Linked DNA regions of Rhinolophus ferrumequinum. The protein of the gene in region 2 interacts with the protein of the main gene of each other region in a pairwise test. Links are inferred from orthologs where the notes say so. Each region holds a gene or a part of one and is shown on either strand. Other genes may lie near its edges. The genes, in order: CHN1, NCK2, RASSF7 and CPSF6.

What was found.
Region 1: the proteins of NCK2 (region 2) and CHN1 interact in binary tests that used the Homo sapiens proteins (3 or more experiments, as listed by UniProt). The two-hybrid records come from large-scale screens. The link is inferred for Rhinolophus ferrumequinum from reciprocal best matches to the Homo sapiens genes NCK2 and CHN1.
Region 3: the proteins of NCK2 (region 2) and RASSF7 interact in binary tests that used the Homo sapiens proteins (3 or more experiments, as listed by UniProt). The two-hybrid records come from large-scale screens. The link is inferred for Rhinolophus ferrumequinum from reciprocal best matches to the Homo sapiens genes NCK2 and RASSF7.
Region 4: the proteins of NCK2 (region 2) and CPSF6 interact in binary tests that used the Homo sapiens proteins (3 or more experiments, as listed by UniProt). The two-hybrid records come from large-scale screens. The link is inferred for Rhinolophus ferrumequinum from reciprocal best matches to the Homo sapiens genes NCK2 and CPSF6.

What each region holds. Positions count from the first base shown.
Region 1 is NC_046291.1:50,264,919-50,272,334, forward strand, and holds the start of CHN1 (N-chimaerin), read left to right. Parts: upstream 1-4,136; 5' UTR 4,137-4,240; intron 4,241-4,369; 5' UTR 4,370-4,527; coding exon 4,528-4,546; intron 4,547-7,416. UniProt on the Homo sapiens protein: GTPase-activating protein for p21-rac and a phorbol ester receptor. Involved in the assembly of neuronal locomotor circuits as a direct effector of EPHA4 in axon guidance.
Region 2 is NW_022680445.1:376,291-383,936, reverse strand, and holds the start of NCK2 (cytoplasmic protein NCK2), read right to left. Parts: upstream 3,347-7,646; 5' UTR 3,224-3,346; intron 2,144-3,223; exon of another isoform or gene 2,035-2,143; intron 1-2,034. UniProt on the Homo sapiens protein: Adapter protein which associates with tyrosine-phosphorylated growth factor receptors or their cellular substrates. Maintains low levels of EIF2S1 phosphorylation by promoting its dephosphorylation by PP1.
Region 3 is NC_046294.1:318,756-326,922, reverse strand, and holds RASSF7 (ras association domain-containing protein 7), read right to left. Parts: upstream 2,946-8,167; 5' UTR 2,819-2,945; coding exon 2,804-2,818; intron 2,666-2,803; coding exon 2,536-2,665; intron 2,354-2,535; coding exon 1,653-2,353; intron 1,532-1,652; coding exon 1,406-1,531; intron 1,331-1,405; coding exon 1,249-1,330; intron 1,171-1,248; coding exon 1,139-1,170; 3' UTR 681-1,138; downstream 1-680. Other genes in the region: LMNTD2 (lamin tail domain-containing protein 2), read left to right, coding at 4,815-5,013, 5,499-5,583, 5,679-5,831, 6,134-6,221, 6,308-6,463, 6,690-6,761, 6,848-6,936, 7,265-7,581 and 1 more. UniProt on the Homo sapiens protein: Negatively regulates stress-induced JNK activation and apoptosis by promoting MAP2K7 phosphorylation and inhibiting its ability to activate JNK.
Region 4 is NC_046293.1:65,272,682-65,280,085, forward strand, and holds the start of CPSF6 (cleavage and polyadenylation specificity factor subunit 6), read left to right. Parts: upstream 1-4,185; 5' UTR 4,186-4,309; coding exon 4,310-4,369; intron 4,370-7,404. UniProt on the Homo sapiens protein: Component of the cleavage factor Im (CFIm) complex that functions as an activator of the pre-mRNA 3'-end cleavage and polyadenylation processing required for the maturation of pre-mRNA into functional mRNAs.

The DNA.
Region 1 (7,416 bases), on a different chromosome or scaffold from region 2:
TATCAGGTAGAGTATGTATTAGGAAAGCCCCAGATAAAAGAGAGGGGGAAAAACCCATCTGGCTTAAGCATTTGAGGAAAACATTATGAAAAACAGACCAAATTCACTCTAAACAAATTCACAGTATGGACATAAATACTTCCACTGGTAATATAAATAAGTATAGGATAGAGAGAATGTCACACTGTGAATATTTTTAATAAATAATTTAAGTCTTAATCAGCATAGCAGAGGAATAGAAAATGTTTTTATGACATTAGCAGAAATGCTCTCTAATTTTTTTCTTCAACAGCAAACTTATGCCCTATTTTGGGAACTGTGCTAATAGCACTGGTATTCCTAGTGTTTAAAGCTGTGTTGGCATGATGAAGTGCTATAATTTTAACTTGTTATTGCGAGGCAGAAAATGCCTCATTAATTTCTACTTCATTCAAAACTGAGGAACAAATCAATATTTACCAATGGGAACGAAGCTAAATGACTAACACAAAAAAACCCCAAAACACTTGTGATAAGTTGCTAAGTCAAAATGTAGAAAAAAATTAAGGCTTATTTAAATTCTGTTTGGTCAACAAAACTTAAATAAAAACGAGAAACCATTTTAATAAATTTGAAATGGATTGTTCAGTGCATACTTTACATTTTAATCCTTATTATATAAAAAGCAATCCTTTTTAAAGGGATTGCTTTTTATATAATAAATATGTTAGTATAAATACTGCAGATGAAATCGCAGTAACAATGTTTTAATAAAATTTGACTTCCTTGTTACACTAGGTATTTATGAAACTGTAACTTATGTCTCTCAGACTTCCAAGATTTACCAGCACTTTAAATATATTGAATAGTCAAATAAAAATGTCTTGTTTTACCCATAATTCAGTTAATTGAAATATTTTAAAACATCTAAGAATGACAGCTAAACTTAAGAGACATTAGAAATAACTTAGTCCTATCCCTTCATTTTATAAAGGAGGAGGATAACCAGAAAAAGTAAAACATTTGCCTAAAAATTTAACAACTAGTTAGTAACAGAGCAAACAAACCTAGCTCTTCTAGATGCTTGCGTGTCAGGCACAAAATTAAATCTTTGAATGAAACCATAAATGTTTTGAAAAATCAATAAATTCTTTGCCCTTTTTAATAAACAATCTAAGGCACCACCCATAATAATCACCCCCAAGTGGTTAACGCCCTTCCTTACATTGAATCTGTAGCGGAAAGGCTATTGCTTTATTTCCAGCTAAGTGTGAAAAGAAACACACTCTATTTCTCATTGGATGATACAGTGTTATAAAAACTAATAAGATTTTCAAGACATAGCACTTTAATCAAGTATAGAAAGCATTTTGTTAGGTCATCAAAACATTAGGAAATCAATTGGAAGGAATTACTTGTGGAAAGCTAGATGCTTAAAAAGGGAAACATGGCAACATTTCAGCTGTATTGTTTCAAATAGTATCCTAAAAACATCTCTAGGGATGAGCTTGTCTGTTTGGGTATGGGAGTGCTGAGACTTGTACGGAAAAGAGGAAGGGGAAGGGAAGAAGGTCCCCACCTGAACTGAAGCTGAGTCTATAACTAGGATTCAATTGTGATCAGCCACAACTAGTGAGTGCAAAGCTGCTCCAGTAACCAAAGCTTGGCTTTATGATGGAGGTGTGAGGATGAGCACAGGACTATTAATTTCCCTCTGACCCCCCTCCCCCCAAGGATAACCCCCAAGGGACAGAGAGAATTACCAGCAAGCTGAGGTGTAACACCAACACTTTGATGCTCTGGTACCTCTCTAACAGAGCTGAACAAAGAGAAGCACCTTTCCTCTCCTAGCCTGATTGGACACATCGTTCTGAGTAGAGGAGCCTGTGAATCAAGACTCCTTGAAACAAAATTCAACTTCCCAAACTACAAGACCCAAATATACAAAATGGCTCAGAACAAAATACCCCGCTCCCACCCCTTGCTACTCTGCTTCTGATACTAAACAGATTTTTCTTTTTAAATTTAAACCACATACTCTTTAAATTGGCGGGGGATGGAAGGTGGGGGAAGTGGTCAGGGAGGACAACAGATGGCCTAAGATTTTCCTGTTAGTTCTGCCACTAAATAGATGGACACATTTGGGAAAAATCTTTTGACTGCTGAGCCCTCAGTTTCCTAATCTGTAAATTGGCGTAGTTTGGTCCCTTCTTGAAAATTCCATGTATTTATGTGAAAGGGGGAATTTTTAAAAGCGTTAATTATAAAGGCAAAACTTTCTGAGATTATAAAGGGTATTTGGGGGCTATCCTTGGATCCTGGAATAGTCCATAATCCCCCTGAAATAGTGTGAACAAATTTGGGTGAGTCTACATGCACATAAACATTTTTCCAGGAAGAGGGACAGTATTTTCATTAGAGCCTGGAAGGGAACTTAGGTTTCTTCACCCTTCTTTGATTGAAGACCACTGGTTGAGACAGTAAATGGTGTCTTCAGTTTCTGATTTATCTGGTTGTAGTCAAATCAGCAGCAGTCTTTATATAGTTATAAAATCTGTCCCACAAAGCCTTGTGGAGTTTCTCATTTATTTTCATGAGCTGTGCATTTGTAATTTTTCATGAGCAGTAAAGCTATTAAAAAATCGAGTCCTTTTCGTTAAAGATTGAAAATTCTGGGGAATTTCAGGATTTATTTTGATATTATTGGCCAAAGGAGAGCCATTTTACTACATCAGAAAATTTCAAGCCTATAGCATCTTAAACATTTGCCCATTCATATTGAATTATTTTACTGTCTTTTTTCTTGAGTTAACTGACGTGAAACAAAAGGCTTGACTCCTCCTTCTAACTCGGTTTTCTTTTTCTTTCTGATGTTTGAGTCAGCTGTGAAATGATGATGAATTAACTGTGGTTCTATTTGAAGTAGTAATTTTCATTTTTATAATGATTTTGATGCTCAAGATAAATTAAATACAACCTATTTATATAATATCCTTAACAGAATTAATTGAAAATTAGAAGGGGAAAATGACATTAGGGAATCTGAGGAACTGAAAGAGGAAAGATGCAGGTAGGAAGAAATGAGAACCAAAGAGAAAAATCTCAAGGTTAGATGCTGATACAGTATCAAATCCATAAGCAGAGACACAAGAAACAAGGAGGAATTTTTAAAACAGGGAACAAATACAGCAATGAGAGAACACTGAATTTTTGAATACATTAAATGCAAACGACAAAAAAAATCGTAAGCTTTTCAAGAACATCTTTTGACTGATAATCTCAAGGCGTTACATAGCTTCTTGTTAATTAAGGCAGAGACAGAGGCCAGCAGAGAACATCACAGAAAGAAGGATGTTGCCAGTGATTCTCAGATAAATGCAAAAAGCTCAGGGGAGCAATCTTTTGTGGTAAAGGAGAAGTGCCAATCAGTGAGGAATGTTGGTTTTCCCTGAGACAATATCAAAGCGGTGTAAAGTAAAAGGAAGAAAATTAGGTTTAAACATTGACCTTGTAAGAATTTAAGTAAATCCCAGGTGCTTTTTAACCGACTCCTGTTCCCTCACACATGACAATCTGATCAGAATTACTCCTTGCGGCTCTTAAAGTCCAAATGGAATGGAAAGCAACATGCAGTGCCTCCCTCCGTCCGACTTCAGGCTCCCTTCCTGAGTCACGTAGCTTCAGGTCACAGGCTCCAGACTCTCCTTTTAACCCCAAGGGCGCCAAGGGAGTGACAGACATATCCTCAAACGAACCCGATCCCCAGATGACCCTGGTGGGGTCCTTGTATTCATGGAGCCTTCACGCGTGACTCTCTTCCTCTGTCAAGTAGCAGCTCCGTGTTTCTCCTCTCTGCGCCTTCTCCAATGCCATTCAAAAAAAAAAACAAAAAAAACCCTGGGCTTTCAGCGAAAAGGCACACCGCCCCCGCCCCCGCCGGGCTCCAGGAGGCCGCCTGCCGCGGGGCGGGGGACACTCCTCCCGGACCCCGGCTGGCGGGGCGCGCGCCCCCGGCCCTCGCGCGCGCCCGTTGCCATGGGAACGCACTCAGCTCGCCCGCCCGAGGGGCAGGCGCCGCGGCCGATCCAGCAGGAGACACTATCGCAAGATGGCGTCGGCGAGGCCGCGGGATGCGGAGTGAGCGCGCCCCGCCGGGGGCTCTGCGAGGCTGCTCCTCTCCCCCCGCCGCCGCCGCCGCCGCCACTGCGGCGCCGCCTCTCCGCCCGCCACTGCGCCTCAGCCAAGCCTCCCCGCCTGGCAGGTACCGCCGCCCGCGCGCGCTCCGCGTCGTGCCCCGATGGCAGCGACAAGTGCCGGCTCGCCGAGGGCTAGCGGGTCTCCCCCGGCCCGGTGCGCCCGACACTAACGCGTACATAACTTTTTCTTGCAGCGGCCCCCGGCATCCCGGCCTGCAGCCTCCCCGCGCGCCGGCGTTCCCACCACGCCCCTCCGAGGTGAGCGCGGCGGGCCGATGCCGTGATCTCGGGTGGGCCTGGGCGGAGCGCGTGGACTGGCGGCGGCGGCGAGCAGCTGGCGAGCGCCTGTACAATGGCCCTGACCCTGTTTGGTAAGTGCAGCCCTTTGCCCGCGCGGTCGCAGGTGGGCCGCGCCCCGGAGCTCGGGGCGGGGGCGTGGGGCGCCCGGGGAGGGGACGCCGCGCGCGCTGTGGCGCGCGGGCTGGGGCCGTGGACTTGGGGCCCCGGGGGCCCCGGGCTCGCTCCCTCGCGCCTCTCCCATTGTTTCCTCTCCAGGCAGCGCTGATGGGCGTGTGCTCCCTTGGCCAATTCTGGGATGGGAGGCTCTGAGGTCCTGGGTGTTTTGTAAACCGAGGATTCTCTAAGATGCCAACTTGGGAGCGAAGTTAGCTGGTTGTTTCCAAACCTACGATTGTCAAGTCGGTAAATAAAGATCCTGGAAAGTTTATTTATTTTGGACAAGGTATCTGTGCATCCCACCCTCCCTGGAATTGCCAAATGCATGTGTTGATTCTTGTTGGAATTGGGGGCAGTTTTTTGGACTCGGTCTTTTCCTTTGTAAACTAGAATAAGTGGTGAACTTAGTATTTGTTAAAATAGAACATGTTTGCCCTAACGAATATGAGAGCAGAAGAAAGTTGGTTACTGGAAGTAAGTAATCTCAGGAGAATATATTTCAGCATTTCAGGAAAGAAATGTTATTTCTGTGATGTAATTACTGCAACACTATTGTTTCAGTGGTTAAGACTTCAAGGTTTTGTTTTTTTTTCCCTGGAGTCAGCAATGACAATGGATTGGAAAGGACTGAAAAGATACATTCTTTCCTTTTACAGAAACAGATTATAGTACATATGTACCTTGCTTTAAGAAAATTCAATACATACAGCATGTGAAAATTTAGATGTTCAAAGTATACAATTTTTCAAAGAAACAAAGTACAATGATATGTACAATGATATGTAACTGATAGCTTACAAGGACAGTCTTAGTAAATTAAAGTATCAAGTTTCCAGTTACGTTTTAATGTCATTTGATCAGTTATAGGCATCACCTACCACAAATGCTTTTTGATGTAAATACTTAAGAGTGAATTAATAATCTCTTGGAATCAAAGTTACTTTTATTTAGCCATCTTATTTTATAAATTAAATTTAGACCCAGAGAGGTTATTTACCAAGGTCACATGACCCTTTTGTAGCAAAACTGAGCTTAGAACACAATTTGCCAGTCTTCAGTCTGGGGCTGTGTTTATTTTGCCCAAATACCCACAGTACTAGAAATGACATTTCTTATTTAGTGTTGATTCTCCAGAGGTGTTTTAAAACATGTTTCTTTTTTCTCTGAAAGTAGTAAAAATCTCACTGTGTTTTTCAGTACACTGTATCTAATCTGCATTACTTAGGTAGTAGACTAATTTTCCTTAACTGTGGACTTTTTTTGTACAAAAGTTAGAAATGATGAAAGGCTTTACTCATAGTTGATATTTTCTTTTATTGAAGCTTTTATCTTACACTATTGTAGCTAATACATAGCAGTAAGATTTCCAGAAGTCAATTTCTCTTTAAAACTATTTCTGACTAAATCATTGTCCTTCCTAAAGAGACAGTCTGCATTTTCAAGGTTTGTTTTCAAAGGTACATTTACAAATTAACCACTTTTAGAATACTGACATTCTTGATGAATAAAACAGATAAACTGGGGAGAAGTGGAGTGTGTGACAAGACTCTTAAAAGGATTCTGAAATTGTTAAATCTTTAACTCCTGAAGTGGAGATGAGGAAAGGAAGAACATGGAATTTACCTTTAGAAGAAGGTATGAGAAACCACTCCCACCCCTCAGAATGAATAAATTATCTTTAAAATTTCAAAGTTGTGGGAAAATAGAATTTAGTTTACAAAATCAAATTTGGTTAACAATTTTTAAGAACATTTCTCCGTTATAAAGCAAAGTACACCTGTGTGTAGAGGCTATTTTTTCAGTAATGATAGAGCAGCAGCTGCTCTCAAAAATGTGGTTGCATTCCACTCATTAGTCACTGAGATGTCTGTTAAAAATGTTGATTCCTTTGCCCAGAGACCTACAGCATATGCCTTTCTGGGGAAAGGGGATTTTCAAGGGACTCCCCTGCGATTCTTATGCACACTCAAATTTGAGAACCACTGTATTAAAGATAAATACTACTTGTCCTCATACTTGTCCAATTTTAAATAGCTTTTGTATATGTTAAGAGCAGTCTTCAAGGGTTAGAAGAAATGGATTTTATTTTAGAAATTACTAGTATATAACTAGTTGGTCTTAGTCAGGAGTACCTACTATCCCTTTATTTTTACTCTTTTTAAAAAAATTAATTCTTTCTCTGCTTCACACTCAGCACCTTTATATTTACTCTTAATAACCAATTTAGAACACAGGAGCAATGAGATAATTAAACTTCTGTGAGATGGGACTGAGAGAGAGGTGGTGAAGACAAGATAGGAACAGGAAACTAGACAAAAGGAACTTACCACTCATCAAAGTCAGATCTCAATAGATTTCTACCTAAGCCTTCCCAAAGTAACCCATGCCAGGACTCTACCTTGTGTATCTTGCGTGTGCTAGTTGGTTAGGCGATCGTCTTAAGTCTGCTTGGGTGCGATAGTAAAATACCATACACTGGGTGGCTCACACAGCAGACATTTGTTTCTCACAGTTTTGGAGGCTGGGAAGTGGGGACCAAGGTATCTTGAGATGATTCCTGGCTTGCAGACATCCAGCTGTGTCCACACATGTTAGGGAGAAACGGAAAGCAAGCTCTCTGGTCTCTTATAAGGGCACTAATACCACCATGAGGACCCACCCGCATGACCCCATCCAAACCTAACCTCTTCCCAGAGGTCCCATCTTGAAATACTATTATGTTGGTGGTTAGGGCCTCAACATATGAATTTGTGGGGGGACACAATTCAGTGCATAGCAGCCAGCA
Region 2 (7,646 bases):
TTGCCCAGAGTTAGTTTTCAGTTCAGGGTCACATGGACAGACACACAATTTACTGAAAAGCGAAATATTCAGCAAACCCACCAGGTGGTTATGCAGTTGAGTTGTTTTGCTTTGCTTTTTGGTTTGTTTGTTTCTTTCTTTCTTTTTAAGTAACTCAACACGCTCAGAACTTCATATTCATGCATTCAATCAGTATTTGTTGGGTATCCACGTGTACAAGGTATGAACACAAAGAAACCACAGGATAGACTGTGATAAATGCCTGTGGGTAGGTGTGTGTTGGGGGTAGGGCTACAACTTGCTAACCTTCATAAGCATACATACTTGGGGATCCGTTCAAAGAGAAATGCAGAAAAAAACATCTAATTTTTTTAAATTGTGTTACCATAGTGGCCTAAAGAAATAGAAAAACTATTTTTACTTTAACTGCATACTTGTGATAACCCATTAAAAGGATGTGTTGACCTCCTTCTAAGTCGCCTTAGTTCGAGCATTTAACAACACACGACATGGTATCATTTTTAGCTGAGGCCCTTTGAAAACATGCCATGAAGGGTTTCCATCACTCATTTTAGTAAAGGAAACAATTTGGAAACCCCATCTGCAGTCCCTCCAGATGGGAAAACTAATTTCCCAAGCCTCTGGGGTGAGTTGTGGGGAGTTTCCAGTTAATTTATGAAAAAAAAAAAAAAAAAAAATTGTTAGCTTACTAGTTTTCCCAAACATTGTCCACTGCCCTCCCGTGCAGTTCCAGCAAGCAAGCAATCTTCAGCTTTTCAGTCAGTCAGCCTTATTTTTAAAGTCAGAGAATTGTGTCCACAAGCCCTCTCTCCCCAAGCGTATGCTGCAAGCCAGTTGGGGCAGTTAGAAGCGTGTGTGTCCCAGAAAGCGACACAGCCTCATCTTGCCAGGGCAAATTAAGCAATGCAAATGATCAAGTAAAGGATTCAGGCCATTTGGGCAATCGGGGAGTCTTTAGGGTACTTTAAAAGGTTATCCAGTTTGTGTACATACAAGGAAGTCTTCTGGTATATTTAATGTGGATGACAGGGCATTTCTCAAATACTGTGTACATAAGACCTGCTGCTTGCAGCAAAACCTCCATAACCCCCCCAACGCAAATGACAGAGGTTGGAAATGTGGCAGGCTCCAAGAGATCAGAGATAAAGAGGCTTTAAGCATGTTGCACGTAATAAAGCAGAACTCAAAGCCTGAAAACTGGGCACAGCTACTTGAAATGCACCTTTAACCAGCTCCGCCCATTTAAAAAGGGCCAGTTTCTCCACAAGTGGGCACAGGGGGTGATAGAGTAGTCAATTCTTCTGATGGCAATTTGCCACACTCAATTTTCTCTTTGTTCCATGATCAGTCCCGGTAAGTGTTTATGCCCAACCTGAGAAGCTCAGAGTCCAGGTGAAGCCTCCAGGAGAGGAAGCTGAGTCTAGCTCCTCCAGAAGCTTACCACAGTTTGAAGCTCTTAATTTCAGCCTCAAGAGATGCAGCCAGAAGACCACTAAGATCCGACTGCTTTCTTCAAACAAGACTACATCTAACCGACCTCGAGGAGAGAAATATTAAGGTAGGATTTTCCCTTGTGGTCACTGCTTCACTATCATGGTTAACACCCATTCTCGGGAAATCCCTGTTCCAAACACTAAAACAGCATCCCCGGCGGCCCCATCTCTGGGCTAAGTCATTTCTACTCTGTATCTCCACTGACTGCCATTCTCTTTATGTTACCACATGTGCTTGAATCCTGTTACTAATTTACCGGTTCACCTAGGAGCACTAGGTAAGTGAGTTAAGGGAGTGTTCAGAAGCAAAGTTTACATCTGCTCTGATAAGTTAAAGCAGCCCAGGTCAATTTCAATTTTCAGTTATTTTAAGACTTGAGAAGCACTGTTGCTAATGACATCAGACATCAAATGCCATGCAATGAAACACACCCTGAATTACTCTCATTCCGACCAAAATCCCTTCTGAGAAGAGGGGAGAAGCCAAGGCTGCGCCTGGACCAGGAAAGGCCTCCCCTACCTGTGCGCCCCGGTAAGCCACGCCCACGGGCCTCTCTGGCTTCAGTTTCCTTTTGGGTCAACGGAAGGAGTGGGCCTACGCGAAGGTTTAGGCTCCTGGGTCCCAGCCCTGGGGCCTGCTCACCCCATCGTGCAGACAGACACAAACTTGGCAGATTCAGCCTTAAACCTGTTGGCAAAATAAACAAAGCTAAATAAAGGGGGAAACTGCCAACCTGAACTGTCTGAAGCCACAAGGGCCGACTCCACACACGTTCGCGCTTTGTCCCTGAAACTGTTACAATGCTAGTTAACAGTGGGTTCTAGTTAAAGTTAGGTGCCTGATGTTCATTAGCCAATGACCCCTGGCATCTCGTGCAACCTTTCAAGGCGATCGTTATTGTCTACAAATTAAGCGTTTTGCAAGCTAAACCCCTCCACACAACGACATGCTACCAACGCTCACACAGGAGTTTACCGTCAATGCCTTAAAAGTCACACACGAAATTCTCCCAGAACCACTTGGTGGTTAAATCGCCCTGAATAAACCGAGAGGGCAGAGCGTGGTGAGAAACTTTGTTTCAGGTGGCTGTAAGAGTCCTGTAAATCTGGGGCAGGACGCACAGGCTGAGACCCGGCACAAAGCGCCCTTCGCCCAGGCGAGGACCTCCTTTATGCGATGTGACAGCAGCTTTGTGCGGGATCATAAATAGTTCCAATAAACACAGTAAGTTCTCCCCGCCGCGCTCCGCCTCCCGCGTCCCGGCGCAGAGGCCAGGCAATCAGCGGCTATTCTTCCCCGGGACTCCCGCCCCGGCCACCCCGGCCACCACACAGTCCCACGCCGGCCCCCGGTTCCGGGCCCGTCGCCGGCCCGCAGGCCGGGCGCTCCTCGCGCGCCAGAGGGTCTCCAGTCCCGGGAACCCACCGCCCAGGCCCCTGCCCCCGCCCGCGCCCTTGGCGCCCCCACCCCAGTGCCGGCGTCCGGAGGATGGGAGCCGGCAGGGGGAAGGTGCGGAGTCCGGCGCTGCCGGCAGTGCGGGACCACCGGGCCAGGCCGCGGCGGGGCCGAGGGCACCGGTGGGGCGCGGAGGGGACCGGTCCCCCGGCCCCTTCCCGGGCGCGCCCTGACCCGCGAGCCCGCTGCGCTCCAACTCTGCGGAGCCGCCCAAGTTTGCGGCCCCCGCCCCGAGGCCGCCGGCCGCGCTTACCTTGCCGCCAGCCGCCCGCCGAGGCCGGAGGGCAGCGGCGCGGGTCCCGGGGCGGCGGCCGCGCCCGCCCAGGCGCCGCTCTTTGTCTGCGCCGCTCCCTCCTCCCGCCGCTCGGCGGACGCTGCCGGCCCGGCCGGACCCCGCCGGCCCGGGCCCCGCGAGCCTCCCGCCGCCAAGCCTCCCCGCCGCCCGCCGCTCGCTGGGCCGCGCGGCTCCGGCCTGACGATCCCCGCGGCGGCGGCGGCGGCGGCGGCGGCGGCGGTGGCGACGACCCCTCCCCCGGCGCGCGGCGCCCGCCCCTCCGCGCTCCTCCCCTCCTCCCGCCGCTCCTCCCAGCCGCGCGGTGACACCGCCCAAGGGCCGGCCTCGCCCGCGCACAGGCGGGAGCCAGACCCACCTGGGGACGCGCGGGCAGCTTGTGGGCCCGCGCGCGGCCGGACTGAGAACGGCACCGGGACAGGACCGCGCTCGGGGACGCATAGCGCGCGGGGCGCGTGGCCGGCTGGCTACCAGGAGACCTTTGGACGCACCGCGGGGTGGGGGCCGAGGAAAGGAAAGGGTCCCTTCTCCTAAAACGGCTCGCTCGGGGGTGGGGGCAGAAGTGGGGTGAGGGAACAAGAGAGGAAATAAAGGCAGCAACTTCCAGCCTCCGATGACCAGTGGGTGGTCTTTCCATCCTCTTTTTGTTTGTTTGATTTTCTTATCACGATGCCCCCCTCCCGGAAGCATTCCCACGCCTCTCTACGCAAAGCAGTCCTGTTGTCCATCAGAAAAGTGACTTCCATAAAAATGTCACTTCCTCTCTGTAATTGCTTGTGGGCATTTTTATTTATTTGCCTTGTATCTATTTACTTTCCCAACCAGACACTTTTTTACTCCATCATTTGTGTCGGAAGCACTTCTGAAGAGGAGAGGAAACTCAATCTCTGCTGCCTCCCTTCCAGTGTCTGGCTCAAGCATACCCATGGGTCAGATTCCTGTAAGGAGCTGAGGGAATGTGGGCTCCAAAAGGTAGTGGGACTGGTCGGGTCACCTGGCCACACGTAGTGGATTACCTATACACAAACGTGGGAGATTCAACCCAAGAGGAAGGGAACAGACACAAGGTTCCCTTTCACAGGCACATGCATCCAGATGTCTGTTCCCCCAATCTCCTTCCCATATGGCTTCCCAAAAGGAAACACTACTATTCAAATAACTCTGATTTCCTGGCAGAGTAGCCAGGATCCATACTAATGAGATTCTTTCTTAGGCTCCTGGCTTCTCATTATTATTAAGGCAATACCAATTTACCCAAGGTGGCATCACAGTATCATTTGAATCCCTCATCCCCTGCCTTGTGCCCAAAAGGAAGTACCAGAAGAGGGTAAGTAGAGCCAGTATGACTTTGAAGTCACCGTTTAGTGTTTGACTATCTGCTTCTTCAACTGTGGAACCTTGCACAAGTGTTTCTTAACCTATCTAAAATCTACTAAATGGGGAGATAACACTGGCCTTGCTCCCATGTAAGTCCCTGGCACACTCCCTGGCAGCAGGGCGCATTCCACTGGCCACTAGAGAGAAGGAGGTGCATTGTGAGCAGGGATGGGCCCAAGATCAGGGAACAGGGACAACCTCCTTCTCCGTTTGACCTTGGGAAAGAAGCTGCCTCAGTTCATCCTTTTGGGAAAACCTTTCTCATGCTGATAAGGAAAACAGAAGGATATCAGTGGTCTGACCCAATTTTAAATTAGTTTACTCAAAATAAGTATAACAACATTGACCCAGTTTTTAACTTGTCTCCTTTGTAAACTTTCATTGAATCATGGGTCTTGAACTCCTCTTCCTTTTCTGATTCTTTGTGAAGTCACCAAAGACATTCTCTATCTAAACCCCTATGCCCCTTTCTCAATCTTTATCCTATGAAGTTTTCTGAAGCACAGGGCATTTGTGCTATTTCCTAAAACTTGGTTATCTTTCCATTTATCTACCTTTCTGACCCACCCAGCTCTGTCCAGTTACAAGACATGTTTTCCTCCCAACCTCTAACAGTAATACCCCAAAGCAGACTTTGGCCCTTTGTTTTTATTCTGATGTACGCCTTCTTTTTAAAAGAGAGTTGATCATTTTTTGTATGCTTCCAGTCTGGATGTCTCCGGCTCCCAGGTCTGTTGCCAGCTTATCTACAGCCCGTCTGCGTGGCTCATCATCTCTTCAAGCTCATCACACTCAGAATGAAACACATCTCCTTCCCAAACTAGCTCCTCCTTCCACGGTCTCCGGCTTGGCCAAGAATCCACCAGGCTTCTCAGCTCCCAGGTGAAACCTCATTTCCATTCTCTTCTTCCGTCCCTCTCTCCAAGCACTCCCCAAGGTCAGTGAGGAGAGGGCTCTAGCTGACCTTGGGATCTCTCTCAATCTCAATTCTTATGGTTCCGAGTCCTGGTGATTCTTAAACATCTCTTTGCATCTTTCTTCCCATCTCCAATGTCACCTCCTAATTTTTACATGATTACTAACAATACTTACAATCTGTTTTGAATACATATATCAGCTCTAACTCACACACAATAAATAGTATTATCCTCACTTTACACATGAAAAAAACTGAAACGGTAAGTGAAGGAGCTGGAATTAGAACTGCACGTACTCCAGAACTCCTGTTCTTTCCACTACACCCACTACCTTCCACCTGGTCTCCTATCAGTCACTTCCTCCCTTCCCCCACATTTATACTGGATGTCAATGTCATCCTAAAAATTGCTTCTATCTTGCCCCTCCACTGTTCAAGAACTTCCCATGGCTCCCTATTGCCCACCTAGTTTCTCAAAAGTTTCCTGACAGCACAGGGCTTGAGCTTGTGCTCCGAGGAAGGCCGAGGAATTGAGCGCCAGGAGGCCTGTGTTCTTTACCTGGGGCTGCTTTAACAAATTACCTCCAACTGGGTGGCTTAAAAAAGAGAAATGTATTCCCTAGGAGTTCTAGAGACCAGAGTCTGAAATCACACTCTCTCTGCAGGCTCCAGGGGAGGATCCTTCCTTGCCTTTTTCAGCTTCTGGTGGCGCCAGGTGTTCCTTGGCTCATGGCAACATCCCTCCAATCTCTGCCTCTGTCTTCATCTGTCCTGGTCCCCTGTGTGTCCTCTCACCCCTTCTGTCTTCCTATAAGGACACTTATCATTGGATGTAGGGCCCACTCAAACCCAGGATGATCTCATCTCCAGACTCTTCCTTGTAACGTCGACAAAGACCCTTTTTCCAAATAAGGTTGAATTCACATGTTCCAGGTGAGCACATCTTTTGGGGCCACCATTCAACCCACTACAAGACCAGCATGGGTAGACATTTCTTTGAAGATGATGTTTGATCTGAAAATGTGTATGTTTATGCATCCTCTTCCCTTACTATGCCCATGTTTGTTTTACTAGTAAAATGTCTCCAATAATGAAGTATTGAAAGTACAAAAAATATAAACCTTTCCCCCCAAGTCACATCCGCGTTAAATCCTGAGATTTATCTCCCAGGGCTTCTCAAACTTAGTCCTTCTATAACCATCTCTTGGTTTACCCTGCCCCAATATAAGTTACTTGCTTGGGTCACTGTGCAACCCCTACTGTATGTGCCCCACTTGGTCACACTGATTTCCTCCTCCAACTGTGCAGACACAGCAAGGGATTCCCTGTGCCCCTCTCTTCCTTCAGTTCCATTCAAGCCGCCCTCACCTCTCCTTGGACTCACGGGAAGCCCAAGGTGAGGCTGAAGGCACTGTGTCAGCCATTCTTGAGAGGCCCGCAGCCTACATGTATGCGAATCTGGATCACTTAACCTCTCTGGGCCTGGGATAGCGAAGTACAGAGTTGTGAGGATTAAATGAGACAATGTAAACATGTCTCGACTGCGTGTTTAACACATGGTAAACACTCCCATCAGCTGTTTCCTGGCCTTCGATCTTAACCCTCAATTCAATTGAACATATTGAGTATATTTCTATTTGTAAAGCATAAGAATCAATTCAGGAGAAACAAAGATAACCTGAGTTGTAATCTCAGAGGAAGGATAAGACTAGTATATAAATGAGTACAATATAAAGCTAAATATGAAAAGTACCAAACAGAACATGTTCGGAGAAGCAGAAGTAGCTTTAGGTTTTAAGTGGTGGCGTTAGAAATGGACTTTGAAAGTTGCTGACACGGTGGGAAGCTGCTGTGATTTGGCTGGGCCATACCAGCCCCCTTCCTGGTTTGGGGAGACCTTTTGTTTGACCTTGGCAGGAGGCAGGCAGAATGGGTCCTCCATCTCTCTACTCTCAGAAGTCCTATGAAAGTGAACGGCCTGGGACTGGCCAGTAGAACCCTCCCAGTCAGGACTTTGAAACTGGAGAGGGTGGCAAAAAGGAGGGAGGATGAGGTTTGGTTTGCTCTTGCTGGAAGGGCCCTAGCGCTTTC
Region 3 (8,167 bases), on a different chromosome or scaffold from region 2:
ACCCCCTATGATCTGTCATGTCCCCGTTCCGTCTCTCAATACCACCCATTGCTGCACCCAAGGCTTAGAGATCCCCCACAAATTCCAATCATAGCCACAGCCCTCGGGGCGGGGAGGCTGGGAGCCTGCAGCCTGGCCAAGGTCAGGACGGATTTGGACACCTGCCCTGATTCCAAGGCTGCAGCCACGCAGCAGAGGCTTCCCACCCACCTGGGGAGCAGAGTGGCAGCCACACCCTCGCAGGGCCCACAAAGCTCCCTGGGCCCGCCCACGAGCTCACAGACTCAGTCAACCTGACAGGCAAGTCTGGTGTGTCCTCGAGTCCTCACGTCCAGGAGCCACCCCAGAGTGGGCGGCAGTTGTGCTGCTGGTGAGCAGGCCAGTGGGGGAGGCATCCAGAAACCTAAGCCAGGGCTGAAGCTTCTTCAGGCCCCAGACCACCCATGTCCAGCGGCAGGTCAGGCTGTGGAGGAGAGCCCCTGAGGGTGGGTGGGCATAACAGCCTGAAACGTGAGGCCCTGGGAGCACCAGTCTTGGATCTGACTGGCCACTGACCCTGGGAGAGCCCCTTTTCAGGAGCCCTGGCTGTGGCCAGCCCTGGGCAGCTCAGATACTCCCCAGGCACCCTGAGTGGAGTCTCAAGGGCTAGACCCCACAGACCCTGCCCAGTGTGGCCTCAGGACAGTCAAATCACTGTCGGCAGTTTATTGAGGTTCGAGTGTCGCGGTGGGGGAGGCAGCATGCACACATGTGGTGAAGAAATCTCCCACGTGAGCACATCCCCACAGACTGAACACAGTGTCCACGACTCTGCCATCCCCAAAAGGAACCGTGGCCTTTGGGGCCTCGCAAGTTCTGAGCTGGCCATGCCCCAAGCTTCTCCAGGGGGTGTGGCAGAGTTGGCAAGGATTAAGGCGAGAGTCCCCAGCCTCCCCCTGTCTCCTGCAGCAGAAACCTCAGGGATCCGAGGTCTCGGGCCCAGGGCATGAGGGCTTCCAGTTGCATGGGGGAAGGAGTCCTCTACGACCACCGACTCTTCTTCTCTTGTCCAGGCTGGGCTGGCCTCAGCTGTCATCGCTCATGTCATCAGAGCCCAGGGGTGGGCTGGCACTGGGCATTTCCTCTGGGGCAGAAGCTGCTACCTCCAGGAGTTCTGCCTTATGGGGACAACTGTGGAAAAGACACAGGCTGAGAGGCTGAGGAGTCACAGGAGGACCTCCTCCCACCCCGGGGGGGAGACAGACATACCCTCTGGGCTCAGACTGGACAGTAGGGCAGGACTCCGGGGGGCTCCCAGGAGGGGCTTTTCACTGGTTGGAGGCAGAAGATCCTATGGGGAGAGCAGGTCAGTGTGGAGCTGTGTGCGGGTGCCCCACGGGCTCGGCTTCCCTCCAGAACCACTGACCTGTGTGCCAGGAGCCCTGTCTGGCTGTGGGGTCAGTGGCAGTGCAGCCCCCGTCTGCTGGATGAACTGCTGCAGGTTACACTGACGCAGCTCCCGGTTCAGCTCCTCAAGCTCCTGGGCCTGGGCCTGGAGCACATGGGACCGCAGCAGGCACAGTCATGGAGCTCCAGGCCTGGTGCTCTCCCTTGTGTGATCAGAAGCTAACCCCCCAGTGCCCCGAGTCAGGGCTGAGATCCCGTGAGCTCACCTGCAGGGCGTGCTCCGCAGCCTCCAGAGCCCTGCTCACCAGGGCCAAGCTGCCCTGCAGCTCCGCACTCTGCCGCTCCTGGGCAGCCAGGTCCTGGCGCAGGCGCTCCACGGCCGATGCTGTGGGCGATGGGGGTCCAGGGGCCTCTGCGGCCAGGAGCAGCTTGGCCTCCAGGGTGCGGGCCTTGGCGTCCAGGGCCTGCAGCCGGGCAGCATGCTCGGCTGTGGCTGCGCTCAGCGCCTGCAGGCGTGCCTGCCCCTCACGCTCCCGCGCCTGCTCCCTCCGCAGCTCCTGCCCCCAGAAGGCCTCCTGGCCCAGCTCCGCAGCGTTCCTCTGTACCCTCCGCTCCAGGCCCTGCAGGTCTGCCCAGCAGCCTGGCACGGGGGCCACTGGGGCCACAGGCTCGGGCAGCACAGGGCTGGAGCCCAGGTTGATGAAGGTCAGTGCTTCGTGGGGCTCACGGCTCAGTGCCAGTCGCGGCTTCGGGGGGAGGCTGGCACGGATTGGGCAGCGCTCAGGGGGTGGGCAGCTGTCTGAGGAGGGCCTTCCAGCGAGGCTGGGCCCTGTCCGCCTCAGGACAAACTGGACATCACTGGCAAACTGTCCACAGGTAGCCTGGGCACCCACTGGACACTCCTGGGGCTGCAGCTGCCGCTCCTTCTCCCTGAGACGCTGCACCAGTACAAAGCGGCCCGTCTGGCCTGGGGTGGGGGAGAGGGGTCAGCCTACATCCCCCCACCCAGTCCACTGGGATTCAGGTATTGGGGAAGAGCAAGAGGGATCAGCAACCGGTCCCACCCTCCTTGGGAGAAGACGGGGGCCAGAGGGCCAGGCCCTACCCCAGGTCCACCTGTTGGGCCTGTCTGTCCCTGAGGGGACTCACCTATAGCTTGGGCTAGTGCGATGACCACTTCCTGACAGGTGGTCTGCTCCGAGACTCCACACACCACGCGCTGGACGCCGTCCACCCACACCTTCAGCTCCATGGCCGCAGGTCCTGAGAGCATCCCTGACTGCAGGCGAAGGCCAAAGGGTCAAGCCCTGCCTAGCGCCACCACAGCCTGGTACTCGTCTCCTGCTCTTCCAGGCCTGCCCCTCACCCCCAGAACTGGATCAGGGCAGCCGCCCTGCTCTTCGGTGCCTAGCCCTACCCGCGGGCCACGCATTCCTGGGGTGGGGGTAGTCAAGACCAGCCCCCCTCCAAAGGGGGAACCAGCCGCCCTCCCGGAGCACTCGGGAGCTTTCCCACTCCGTAGCTCCTCTCGCCCCGCCCCACTCCCGGAACAAGGCGAATCATTAACCAGATGCAGGACTTCCTGCCCCTCCAGTCACCTGGCGCGGAGGGCACTGCCCCTCCCGCGGGGTGCCGTCCCCAGGCACCCAAAGGCGGCGGCACGTGAACTCGGCACCCCGCTGCCATAGGAACGCACCCTCCCCCGCGACTCAGACCTCGGCGGTCCGGACCCACCGAGCCTGGCGCAGGCAGCCCCTTCCCACTCCCGCCGATCGCTGCGCTCGCCCCGGAGGCCGCCAACCCCGCCGCGGGGCGGGTGCAGGTGCGGAGCGGTCCCCACGGGAGAAGTTGCCGCCCAGGTCGGCTCCGCACTTAGCAAGCTCCGCGTCTCAGCGCAGCTCACCTGGTCTCCCGCTGGCCTCCGGGATCTGGACTCGAACCGGCTCCTTTAGAGCGCCCGGCGCGGTCGCAACCTGCCTCCTGCCGCGCAGCGGGAGCGCCCCGGCCCGCCACTCCATTGGCCCGCAGCCCGTGCGCCCAGCCCTATGCGCCTCCATTGGTTCCTCGGTGCGCCCCGCCCGCCCGCGCCCACGTTCATTGGCCACTTTTTATGTGCCCGCCCCTCCCCTCCCCATTGGCTTCCCGCCCGCCCCGCCCCCGGCGGCGCCCAGGTGTGGGCGGGGCTTGGCGGCTCCGAGTGGCGGGTGGAGTCCGGGTCCACTCCCGCCCGGACTCCGGGTCCACTCACGCCGGAAGCCCGCGAACCACGCGGAAGCGCGTCCCAGCCGGCAGCTCGCGGGCAGGTGTCTGGCCCCATTCCCTGGCCCACTTCCTCGGAAGCCGCCCATTCTGATGAGTCTCCTGTCTAGGGAGGGGACGCTGGCCTGGGACCCCGAAAGCCCGCCAGAGCCCAGAGGGCCCCCTGCCTGATGGGCCCCTCCGACCCCGCTCCCTCAGGGCCCGCGGCGGCCGTCGTCGGGACACACAGGGCTCGGGGGGTGGGGCTGTGAGCCCCCCAGGAGGGGAGGTGGAGCTGGTGGGCCGCTGTCCCTCTCTGGCTGCAATCAGGTTGACAGCCTTTGTGGGGCAGGGGGCCCGCCCCAAGATTGCCGGGGACAAAGATCCTGGGCTCCTTGTGTGAAGTTCCTTCCCCCAACCCTTTCCTGTCCCCAGTGGGGCCCAGTGTCCTCCTGAGCTGTGGACACGCTCCTCTGCTTGGCCAGCCCTGCTGTCCCATGGGAGAGCCTCAGCAAGCTCACCGGCTGTGGCCCCTCAGTCTCAATGTTCTGGACGGCACTGAGAGCCTGTTTGCCACGGTCAGGCCGGCCTGTGGGGGGTCTTCCCGGCCTGCCCCTGTCCTGCCCCCATCTTGCCCAGCACAGGAGGCCCCACAGGAACAGAAATTGAAAGTCTGAATAAAGGAATGATGAATGAATGAATGTGAGGTGGGGGGCAAAGGCTGGAGGGCACTTGTGGTTAGGTCTGGGGCCTCAATTTTGCTTCAGGGTAGAGGGAACAGTTGTCATGGTTATGGGTATGTCCCCAGGGCACCCTGCGGAGGTCCGGGTGGTGGAGATGGACAGGGGAAGGCGAGGTTTCTGGCGTGAGCGTCAGCGCAGAGGCTGTGGATGAGCAGAGGCTGTGGAAGGCACTCCGGTGGGAGTTAAGAGTTCTGCAGGCCCCTCCCCCAGCTCCCCAGGGCTGTCCACTGCTTCCTCTTCAGCTCATCAGCCTGGCCCACTGAGACCTGCACTCTTAGGTCCTGCTGGCTCGTGGACACACAGAGCAGCAATGCACACAATCAATCGCCATGGTCAGGCTGGGGAGGGACCTTGGGAGCCTCCCTCAGGGTTGGTTCGGGGTGTTGGGCTGAGCGCTGACCATGGCAGGCCCTGCTGGCCACTCTGTGGTCCCCAGGGCCTGTGGAGATGAGTTGGGCAGCAGCTCAGCTTCTCACAGCTTCTACTTCAGGCTGGACCAGCCCCCAGGAGGAGGAGGTGGGCCCTGGTCTGGGGTCTCCCCAGAGGCTCCTGGTAACAAACAGCCCCTCCCCTTCTGGGTGCTGGTATCCATGGCAACGCCATAGAGCCTTTCTCTCCCCAGGCCTGCCTGGATTTCAAGCTTCAGGTGAGTGCTGGGGGTAGGGCTCTGGGTCTGGGGGGACATGGGTGTGGAGGGTAAAGGACCAGCACCTCTGGGGACCCCTGCTGTAGGCTGGGGCAGGACCTCAGGTCCCAGAGGGCAAGGGTGAGATGGAGGAGACCACAGGGAATGTAGAGAGCCAGGGACATGTTGCCTGGGGGTGTAACCTGCTGCCCTGGCCTGGTCAGAAACACACAGGTGTGGTCACCCACATGACCAGCAGTCTGGTGTCCTATGGGGTTGAAACACACACCCACACCCACACCCCACCAAACACACACGGGCCTCCATGGAAGGAGAGCCCCGCAGAGGTACCCAGGACGCAGGCAGACAGCCCCACCACCCCTCAGCTCTTCCAAGAACATCAAGAATGGCCCCCAAGTCTTGCCAAAAGGCTGGAGAAGCCAAGGAAGGTGTTCTCTCGTCCCTGGTGGACAGGGAGCCAGTCAGTGTCCATCTGGGGCCTCCAGCTGGCACACCTGCAGACCTGGTGACTCCCACATACCTGAAGGACACCAAGCCAAGCTCCACACCAGCAGTCTCCATCAACCTGCAGTAAGGAGGGGATGGAGGGGCGGTCGGTCGGCCACTTGAGCCAGGCCAGCCAGAGGGCAGGGCCTGATCAGGCAGCTGGGCTGCGGGCATTGCAGGCTGTCCCCTGAGGGCCTGGACCCCCACACCCTGCGGCTGCTGTGGAGGCAGCGGGAGCTGGAGATCCAGGCCCTGCGGTGTGCCCTCCAGAACTGCCGGGATGCCCGGCATGGCCACATCCTGCAGGAGGTGGCTGGACTTCCACTCGAGAGGTCAGCAGAGAAACACTAGTCCCCCAGCCCTGGCCTGACCCCAACCCCAACAACTGATCCTGACCCTTACCCTGACCTTTGCCTCTAGGCCTAGTCCTTACCTGACCCTAATCCCCAACCTTAACTGTGAAAAAGTTGATACACTGTAAACCTGCCCAGACCATAACCCTGAATGTGGGTGCTGAATTCCACCCAGACCTCTCAGAGCCTGACCAGGCCTGGCCAGACCTGGCCCAGCCACACTCTATGCCCTCCTTGGCTGCTGACCCAGAGGTGGGGGGCGCTATCACCCCTTCTCCCAGGAGCTCTTGTGGTCAGGAAAAGCTCCTGCAGATCCAGGTCCAGAAGCTGACTGTGGAGCTAAAGGAACAGAAGAAACAGGCCCAGCTGGTGAGGCCTCAGGAAGCTGGGCCAGGGTTGGTCTTGGGGGCGGGGTCTGAGAAGGCCCCACCCACCTTTGGACCCCACTGGAGCAGGAGAAGGAGCATTTGGAGAAGCAGTTGCTGCAAACCAGCACCGTGCTCCAGCAGCGGGAGGCTGAGCTGCAGGCCCTGCACAAGTCTTGCCTCCTGCATCTGGCTCGCTCTTCCTGGCTGGGCCGTATGCTGCGGTCGTCTACTGGCAGCGTGGAGGTGAGCCTGTGCACCGGGTCCATGCTGCTCACCCACGTCCCCTTCCCAGACCTCCTTGGACTTCCCTGATAGCCAGGGTGCCTGGGACAGGGAGGATGGAGCCCCTGGCCCTGCCCACCTGGAACTTAGCCATTGTGTGCCTCAGGTCCAAGGGAAGGGGTGACTTGCAGGGAGTGGTGCCCTTCTCCCAGGCCCTGCCCACTGGCCTCCGGGCCCCCTCTTGCAGGTGGTGACTGCAGAGACCCTAATGGACCTCAGTGACCTATCTGAGAGTGATGAGGTTTCCTCTGCTTGGGAGGTGAGCAATGTCCCCCACATTCATTCGTGGCTCTGCAGGCATGCAGGGGGCGGGGGGCACATGCCTGTTGCGTGCGTCCCGGCCAGGGTTTCCGGCTGGAGGATGTGGACTGGAACAGCATCGCCCATCGATACCCCAATCTCTTGACTGACATCAAGTTGACCTTGGATCACAGGTAACTGGGCTGGACAGGGACACCCTCAGGGGCCCCAGGAGGGGGGGCTTGCCTTGGCCGATGTGGACCAGAGTCCAAGTTCCACCCTTAGTATCCCTGGACAAGTCACTTGAACTTTGCAAGTGTCAGTGTTCTGATCTGTAGAACAGGGATGCAGGGAAAGGCTCCTGGGCTCTCTGTGTCCTGCCATGAGCCCTTTCCCGGGCCGGGTCCTAGAGACTGGGACCACAAGTTGGGGTGCTCTGCCAGCCTTGGGAAAACTGGATGGGGGCAGGGCTGGGGTCCAGGAGTGAAGCCAAGAGGCCAATGAGCAAATGGTGGCCCACAGGAACCCTGGGCCATGGCTGCCCCCAGAACTCCCACCAGCCTCACCACCGGACGACCAGGGCTCAGAGCTGTGCACACAACACATGGAGCGGCATCTCAAGAATGTGGAGTGGAGCTCTCTGCCCTTGGGGGGCACCAGCAGCTTGGGGGACACCAGCAGCTCGGGGGGCGCCGACTCTGACTCTAGCAACCCCCAGCGGGACATGAGGTTTCCAGTGCATGTGACAAGGCACCCGCCCTGGGCACCAGGACATGCTTCTGAGCAGACAGAGTCGCAGGCCAGGAGCTTCCACAGGGGCTCACAGGCAGAGCCTGCAGGTGGGGTGGGGCAAACTCCCCTGGCTCCTTCCTTCTGTCCTGCAGGGCTGTGATCTCTGCCCAAAGCCCTAAACGGGGTCAGCAACCTCTAGGCCTTCTCTGTACCCACAAAGAGGTTGTGGCGGGGGGGCTCTCTGGTCTCATCTCCAGGGATTAGGGTGCTCTTGGAGCCCTCCGTGCTCTGGTTCAACCTTCCCCCCAAAAAAGTACTTTGAACTATGCCTCTGCACCCCTCAGCCCCTGGGGCCAGCCACCCCTCCTGCCCTGAATCTGACCCCCCTGCTGCTCCTCTCCCACGTGGACCCTCAGGGCGCTGCAGGCCAGCTGGCCTCACAGATGTCCCCAGTGGGTGCTCCATATGGGGGTCCCTCTCACGGACAGGCCTCCTCTCCCTGGATCTCCCGGAAACCCACTCAGAGGGCCTGGGCAAGACCGTCCTGGTGCCCAGGTTCTGTGCAACTCCAGACCACCGGCAGCCTGGGCACCGATGGAGGTGAGGGAGTGCGGCAGCCCCCCAGAGCAGGGCCAGGAGCTGGTCTCCCAGCGGAAGGGGGGCAGACCGGCCCAAGCGACTCGGCCCTTCCTG
Region 4 (7,404 bases), on a different chromosome or scaffold from region 2:
CATTGATTTATTTGAAGTGAGATTGATAGCATGTGTGAACTATTTATGGATTATGGATTTTCCCCAATCATCAGGCCTTTGTCTACATGTTGTCATACCATAGGTGAAATGTGTTAGACAACCTTTGGGATGTCTGCTTAGCTCAAAGCAACCTTCTTTCATGGACAATTCTCCACCCTTTCCTAACTCACAGAGTAGAATTCTTAAGCCATGTTCTTAGTCTGTGACCCCTATCCCCTTCGACAAACTTCACTGGACTAGGAGTAGATTCCTATAAAAACTGAACTGATCAGTTGCTTACTCCTTAGATTTTTGCAATTGCAACCAAGACAGATGGCCATTTTCTTCAATGGTGGAGATCTGAACTCTGAAGTTGATGTTGCCATTGTCGCATAGCCACGTGCAAGGAAAGGCGAGTTCCTCTATACAGAGAAGTAGATGTACAGAGAAGCTTAGAAGGCCAGAAGCAGATATAGAGATAACCTTAGGACATTATTTACTTCTTTTCTAACCTCTCGACTACTCTTCTTAAATATTTTGATTTTATTATCGTTTATACCGTTTAGTGATGTCATTGTGGGAAGGGGTCCAGAGCCAAAGAATGTGAGAAAGACAAGAAAATGGACTCTCCTTTAGAGTCTCCAGAAAGAACGCAGCCCTGCGAACTCCTTGATGTTAGTCCAGTGAGATACATTTTGGACTTCTGACCTCCACAACTATAATAAATTTGTGTGGTTTCAAGCCACTAAATTCATTACAGCAGCAATAGGAAACTAATGCAGGTGGGCTAGAAGGAAGTTCTGCTGCAACAGTTAACATACCATTGTCGAATTCCTCCCAAGGCACTTTGGACTTTCAATTCTATGTAGGTTTGAATAATAGAATTTCAGAACTGAGAGGGACCTTCATGGACGACTTGAGGGAAAGGACTACTCTTAGGTTACTTGGCTAGTCAGTAGTAAAGCCAGGACAAGAACTCAAGTCTCCAATCTTTCATCTGCGTACATTAATAATGATAAGATGTCTAACGAAGACGTTGGTGCATGGAAGGTAGTCAATAAGTGGTGGAGTGTTTTGTTGTTATTATTATGCATTTTTGGTCATCTATAATGATATTTCATTTTTAAAACATCGTCAAGTAAGGAGGTACCCTGTGCTAAAGAACGAAAAATTCAGCTGAGTAAGTTTAGAGACCTACTTGGCTTTACTGAATGACTTATGAATTCCTCAGCATCCCATCTAGAAAAAAGAAAGGTGCTCCAGGAGCTGTATAAAATGGATGGCTTTTATATGTAGAAATGAGTGGGGGAGAAAACATTAAGAGTGAACTATTAAGGGCACCTCTTCTTAGCAGAAGGCAGGGGGTCTTATCAGATAGATTACCAAACTAGTGGTAACCAGGAAATTCCAGACTGATTGGTTTAAAATTTCACTCCTGAGAGAGGCTGAAACTGCAATGAAGTTAGGTATTATTAAGGCATGGTAGGGCTTACTACAAGTGACTCCATTTGGGGTCTGTTGTTTCTTTTTAACACCTGAAACAATATTTTAAAATTATCAAAAAGGTAACCAGGGAGCGAGTGAGGAATCACCTGGTCAAGAAGCAGAAGAGGATTGGGTCTATGCATTCAGAGTGCTTTTGCCCTGGGAGACATTTTTAGATTATTCAAACGATATGGTTGAGAGGTGGAGCTGCACTTTTGACATCTAGGGGAACAAAGTATAGAGTCTAGGACCTGCCAAGAGTGGTGACTCTGGTAAATCAGGTTTTGGGCTGGTCCTCAAAAGGACAGCACCTGGGAGGTAAAGGCAAGCCAAACTAAATTAGTTTCCTCAAGGTTCCCAATCATCTGGATGTGTTGGTGCCCCAAGGTACCTGCCAGAAGAAAATGAAAATCCTTTATTTAAAAAAAAACACAAAACCATCAGAAGTCTCACATTGTATCTTCAAGGGTTTCAATTAAAATGTCAAGCACACAAATATAGTCAGGTAAAAAGACAACACGAGTGAGAACCAGCATGAACACTATACAACAAATAACTAGAACAAAGAACCAACAACAGACCCAATGAGACTCCAGATACTGGAATTATCAGTGACCCAGATCGTATACCAATGATACCTGCTACATTCAAAGAGATAAAAGCCAAGATTGACAATTTTGGCAAAGAATTAGATGCTAACACCATAGGAGAGAAAATTAATAATATAGAAAATAGAAAAAAAAAATCTATTCAAAATGAAGCATACGGAGATAAAAGGATAAAAAAATAAAAAAGAGAAGGTAAGAGAAATAGTAAATAGTAAACAGAAAAGATATAACATTTAATTGGAGGCATAGAGGAAAGAAGAGAGATTGGGGCAGAAGCAATATCTGAAAAAGTAATGACTGAGAATTTTTCAGAACTCATGAAAGGCATCAATCAATGTATTCAGGAGGCCCAGTAAATCCCAAGCATTATAAATAAAGAGACATACACTTCCAAACATATATAATGAAAGAGCAGAACACCAAAGCCTGAGAGAAAAAAAATCTCAAAAAGCAGCCAGAGGGGATAAAACCCCCCTGATAACCTTCCAAGAAACAGCTACACTGACAGCTGACTTTTCACAGGTAACAACAGAAGTCGGAATCTGGAAATCAGTTTTAAGTACACTGAAAGAACATAAACTGCTTCTATCATCACATCTTCTCTGACTCTCTTGTTTTCTTTCACTTATAAGGATAATTGTGATTACTTTGGGCCCACCAGGAAAACAAGGATAATCTCATCTCAAGATCCTTAATCATATCCCAAAGTCCCTTTTGCAATGTAAGGTAACATATTCACAGGTTCTGGGGATTGGGATGTGGCCATCGATGATGGGCCATTATTGTGCCCACCACATTATCTCAAAACTGTCCCCATCTTTTATCATGAGTGGCTGTTCTACGAAGCCCCATGGAAAAAAGGAAATTAGTACAGTATTTCCAAGAAGCAAAAGAAGACAGGGCATTTTGCATACTACCTCATTTAAAACCACCATCAACCTTCAACCTTGACTAAACAAATATTATTACCCCTATTTTAAGGATTCTAAGGTTGAACATGAGAGAAATTAGGTAACTTGACGGAGGTTCACCCAGCTTGCAAAGAGTCTGACTAGAAATTTGTATCCAGATCACCAGATTGACGTCTATGACTCCACGCTTTTTCCTCCATACCAAGTACAGATATTGCTTGGTTCATCATTGTATGAATGATTTCTGGCCAGTTCATATCTTGGGAAACAGACTCTAATTTGGTGGGTTTTTAAATGAATGAAAAAGAAATTAAAATGGGGGGGGGGTCAGGTTTCAAACTGGAACGATATCTTTGAAGTATGGGTGGCAAGAGTTTTTTCTTTACTGAAAATGGTTAAATCACTTTGATTTTATTAAGGCCTTTTTTCCCTCTTCTGTAAAATGGGATGTTTAGACCTAGTAACACCTTGGTTCCCTTCTCACTGGGATATTTTGTGATTGTAAGAGAGAAACCTCTTGCCTCAAGGAGCCTGCCCCTTGTTGGGTGGGCTCTAAGCTGACTGCATTTAAATTAGAGGTATCTGAATTATTCCAAAGAAAACGAACGTCAGATCTAAGAAGGAAAAAATGAAGAACAATGAATTGGGGAAGAGGAGATGAAAGAAGATGACCTAAGACAGAGCCGGAAACATAAACAGCACGCAAATAACATAAGTCGCATGCAAATAACTCAAGCTAACCATCAACGGGTTTTCTGGCATTTACGAGGCAAATGAAACTCTGCTGGTCTCTGAGTAGGGATGCAGGGGTAAAGACCTTGTTCTCGCTCTCAAGGCGCTCGTAGAATGCGAATTTACACTTCGTATTTAATCGTGGACATGTAACTCCCACCTTTCTAGAAGCCCGAGCTGTGAGAAACAGTGGGAAGAGAAAATATTACCACACGCTTGCGTGTGCCTGGGGCAACGTGGAAACAGTCTCTGGAAACTGGGACGTCCCCCCGCCGCCCCCCCCCCGCCGCCCCCCCCCCCCGCGGCCCCGCTCTCGCCTGCAGGCCTAACCCAGACACACAAAAGAAACTGCCTCTACCCTCAGGGACGCAGTTTTTCTTCTGGGCCCGCCGCCTGGCGAGGTTGCACGGGAGACCGCTGCCCCAGGCAGCCCCCCTCCGCCCCCGCCTCAATCCCCCAGGCCTCGGAAGTGACGCAGCGCGCCCCGCCCCCGCCGCCAGATCCGCTGCTGCTGCCGCGGCGGGCGGACCTGCAGGAGGCGGCGGCGGCGGCAGCGGCCGAGGCCGAGGAAAAATGGCGGACGGTGTGGACCACATAGACATTTACGCGGATGTGGGTGAAGAGTTCAACCAGGTACGTGAGGGCCCCAGGCCTACGCCGCCGAAGCGGGCAGGGTTGCGGCCCGGACGCTGAGCCGGGCCAGTCGTGGGCTGCGAGCCGGCGCGGCTGCAGCCCGTGCGCCCTTGCCGCCCGTGGGCCGTGCCGCCCGGCTCCGGCGCGGCGTCCCTCTCGCCCCTCGTTCTACCGCGACGTTTCGCAGACCGAGGGCGGTGCGGCCAGCCGCGGGGGCCCAGAGCGCGGACGCGGGCCGCTGTGCAGCCGCCGTCGGCCCCTCCCTCGCCGCTACCTCGCCTCCCATTGTTAGCGGCGGCGGGCGGGCGGGCGCTTCCCGCCGCACTAGGCCCGGGCAGTGGGGCCGCGTGTGTGTGGCGGGGGTTCAGCACGGGTCGCTACCGCGCCCCCTCCCTTGCCGCCAGGTCGAGGAGCGAGCCCGGCGGGGCGCGCGCCGGCCCCCGCCTCTTCCCCGGCCTTGCCTGCCGCTCGGGCTCCGATTCCTGTCGTCGCTCCATTTTGTCTCCGTGTCCGCGCACGGTCGCCTCATGGAAGGCCGCATTCACCGCCCTTTGTATCCCGCGCGCCGGGTTTCCTGGGCCCTCCTGCTCGCGTTTGCGACAGGTTTCGGCGTGCCGCCTTTCTCCTCCTCTCCTCACACTTTCAGACGGCGGCTTGGATGTGGGCGCGTTTGCAACAAGTCCTTTGACTTTTGGACCCATGTAGATCCTTTAAAAGTCGGTGCGCTGGGTCCTGCCTCGATGGTAGAGGGCTGGCAGTGCCTTTGAGGCCCAGTCGTTCTTGGCCTTTCTGATGAAAATACCTGTGAAGATAGGTGGTCTGGGCAAAAGGAAGACTTAGAAGCGCGATGGTTGGATGGAACAGGAAAGATGGTAGCTCACCAAGAGATCAGTGGAGTGGTTAAAATAAAGAATGCCCACCTGAAATGCTTACGCTATAGTTTAAAAATAAAGGGATGTAGATGTGACCCGATTTTCAAAAGCAAAATGTTAGATACCCTCCAAGGGATCTGCTTTACATTTTGAAAGGGTGCAGAAAGTGAGAATGCAATGTTTTTCCGGTATCTCACAGGCCACCGTTGGCCTAGAACTAAGCCGCGGAGCTGTGATGTCTGATGTTGGGCATCCTTGCAAAAGATCTCGTACTAGAGCAGTGACGTTTAAGCTCTAAACCTGCTGTTCACATCTTTACTGTCTTTTATGTAGTAACACATTTTTAAAAATCAAATTGTGCCTAACTGCAGTGCACCTGAAAGCTTTATTTTTTGTATTTTCCAGGTCCGTATAAGAAACTTAATCAAATTCTACTGATTAATCTGTTTGTTTCTTCCTTTCCGTTAAGGATCTTATTTGTGACTAGGGGCTCAGGATGTGTTTTTTTTTTTTTAATTGCGCAAGCTAGTAATCCTTACCGCTCTTTTTTTCGGGAATGACTTTGTGCCCCTGGTTTAAATATTAGAAACAAATTTTCAGTTAGCTTAAATGTTTCCTACTCTGTTAGAGACTGAATATGTTTAAATGTAACCCAGTGTAATCAAAGGTTAAGCTTTAAAATTTTTGTTTTTATTGTGCTTATATTTTGAATATATGATGCCTTAATGGTGTCAGTGACAAATTAGAAAATTCTGGAGTGCTACAGTCAGATTCTAATGCTTTTAAGTCGGACATAGACTTTCAGGAATTTTTATTTATCAAATGAGTATAACATTTCATGCAAAAGAGGGCCATACCTCCATACCAAGTAAAGGAACAATTAAGTGTTCAAATCTCTTTTCATTAGATTTACTTGCAGGAATATACATTTGCTTTGCCTTTCTACCCACAATAAAGGAAAAATTGGTGTGCAATTTTAGAAGTTGAGCTTTCTTTAGGACCTCTCCATGAAATATATTTTAGGCTTTCATAAACTAAATTGGGGGTGGGCTTTTCTCTATTCCATATTGCTGTATGAAATGATACATGCTTATCTCTGTGCTGTAACTAGTGCTTATCTCTATGACTGAGCAGGAGGTAAGATGAGATTAGAATTTTGTGGCCCTAGTGAGGAATTTACTTCATATGGTTCTTTTTAAAATGTAACTTTGAAAAAAAAATTTATTTTCAATAAAAAAAATAAAATAACTTTTTGTTGACTTGTACCAATAGCATTATATCTCACACATAGTTGTATAATTTTACCAGTAAAATATTTGTACTTTTGGATAGATTAATGGGGGGATTAAATGGAAGCTTTGTTTTGTTATTTTGCATGTCATTGGCCTTTGTACTCTATTGCTTGCTGTAGCAATTCCTGTACAAAATATGGCCAAAACAAGGTTCATCCTGTTTTTTCAAATGTTACTATTATTCAAATAGTTTTCTGAATTTTCATCAGAATTAGAGGCAACTACAAAATTATTACTGATTAATTTGCACTCTATTAGCTGATGACCTTATTTGTATGTGTATAGTAAACATTCACTTTATTGTAGTTGAGTAAAATGTTTTACTAAGTATAACCAGTCTTGATTTACTTTAGCTTCTAAACTGCTGTAAACATTTAAAAAATTTTTTTGTTCTTTAATGTGAACTGCAGTTTTCATTGAATTTGTATACGTACTTTGAAATTCTCTGTAGAGTATGTATTTCCCATTTCTTCTATTTTAAATGGTCGTACTTTCATGAAGGTGTTTTTTGAGTGTGTATTTTGGGAAAGTACAGTATAAAGTGTAATGGAGACAGCTGGATAGCTCAGTTGGTTAGAGTGCCATGCTCTTAACAAGGTTGCCGGTTCGATCCCCACATGGGCCACTGTGAGCTGTGCCCTCCACAACTAGATTGAAACAACTACTTGACTTGGAGCTGATGGGTTCTGGAAAAAACACACTTAAAATAAATAAAAGTTTTTTTAAAAAAAGGTGTGAGACATTCAGCTGTCATAGAAGAAACTTTAATTTGGAGATGGGGTGAGAATAAGTTAATGAAACTATAATAAAGTTCCTTTCTTCACCAGAAGAACTTAAGAATGGGAATAAAGCTGAAGGGGAGAAAGCACAT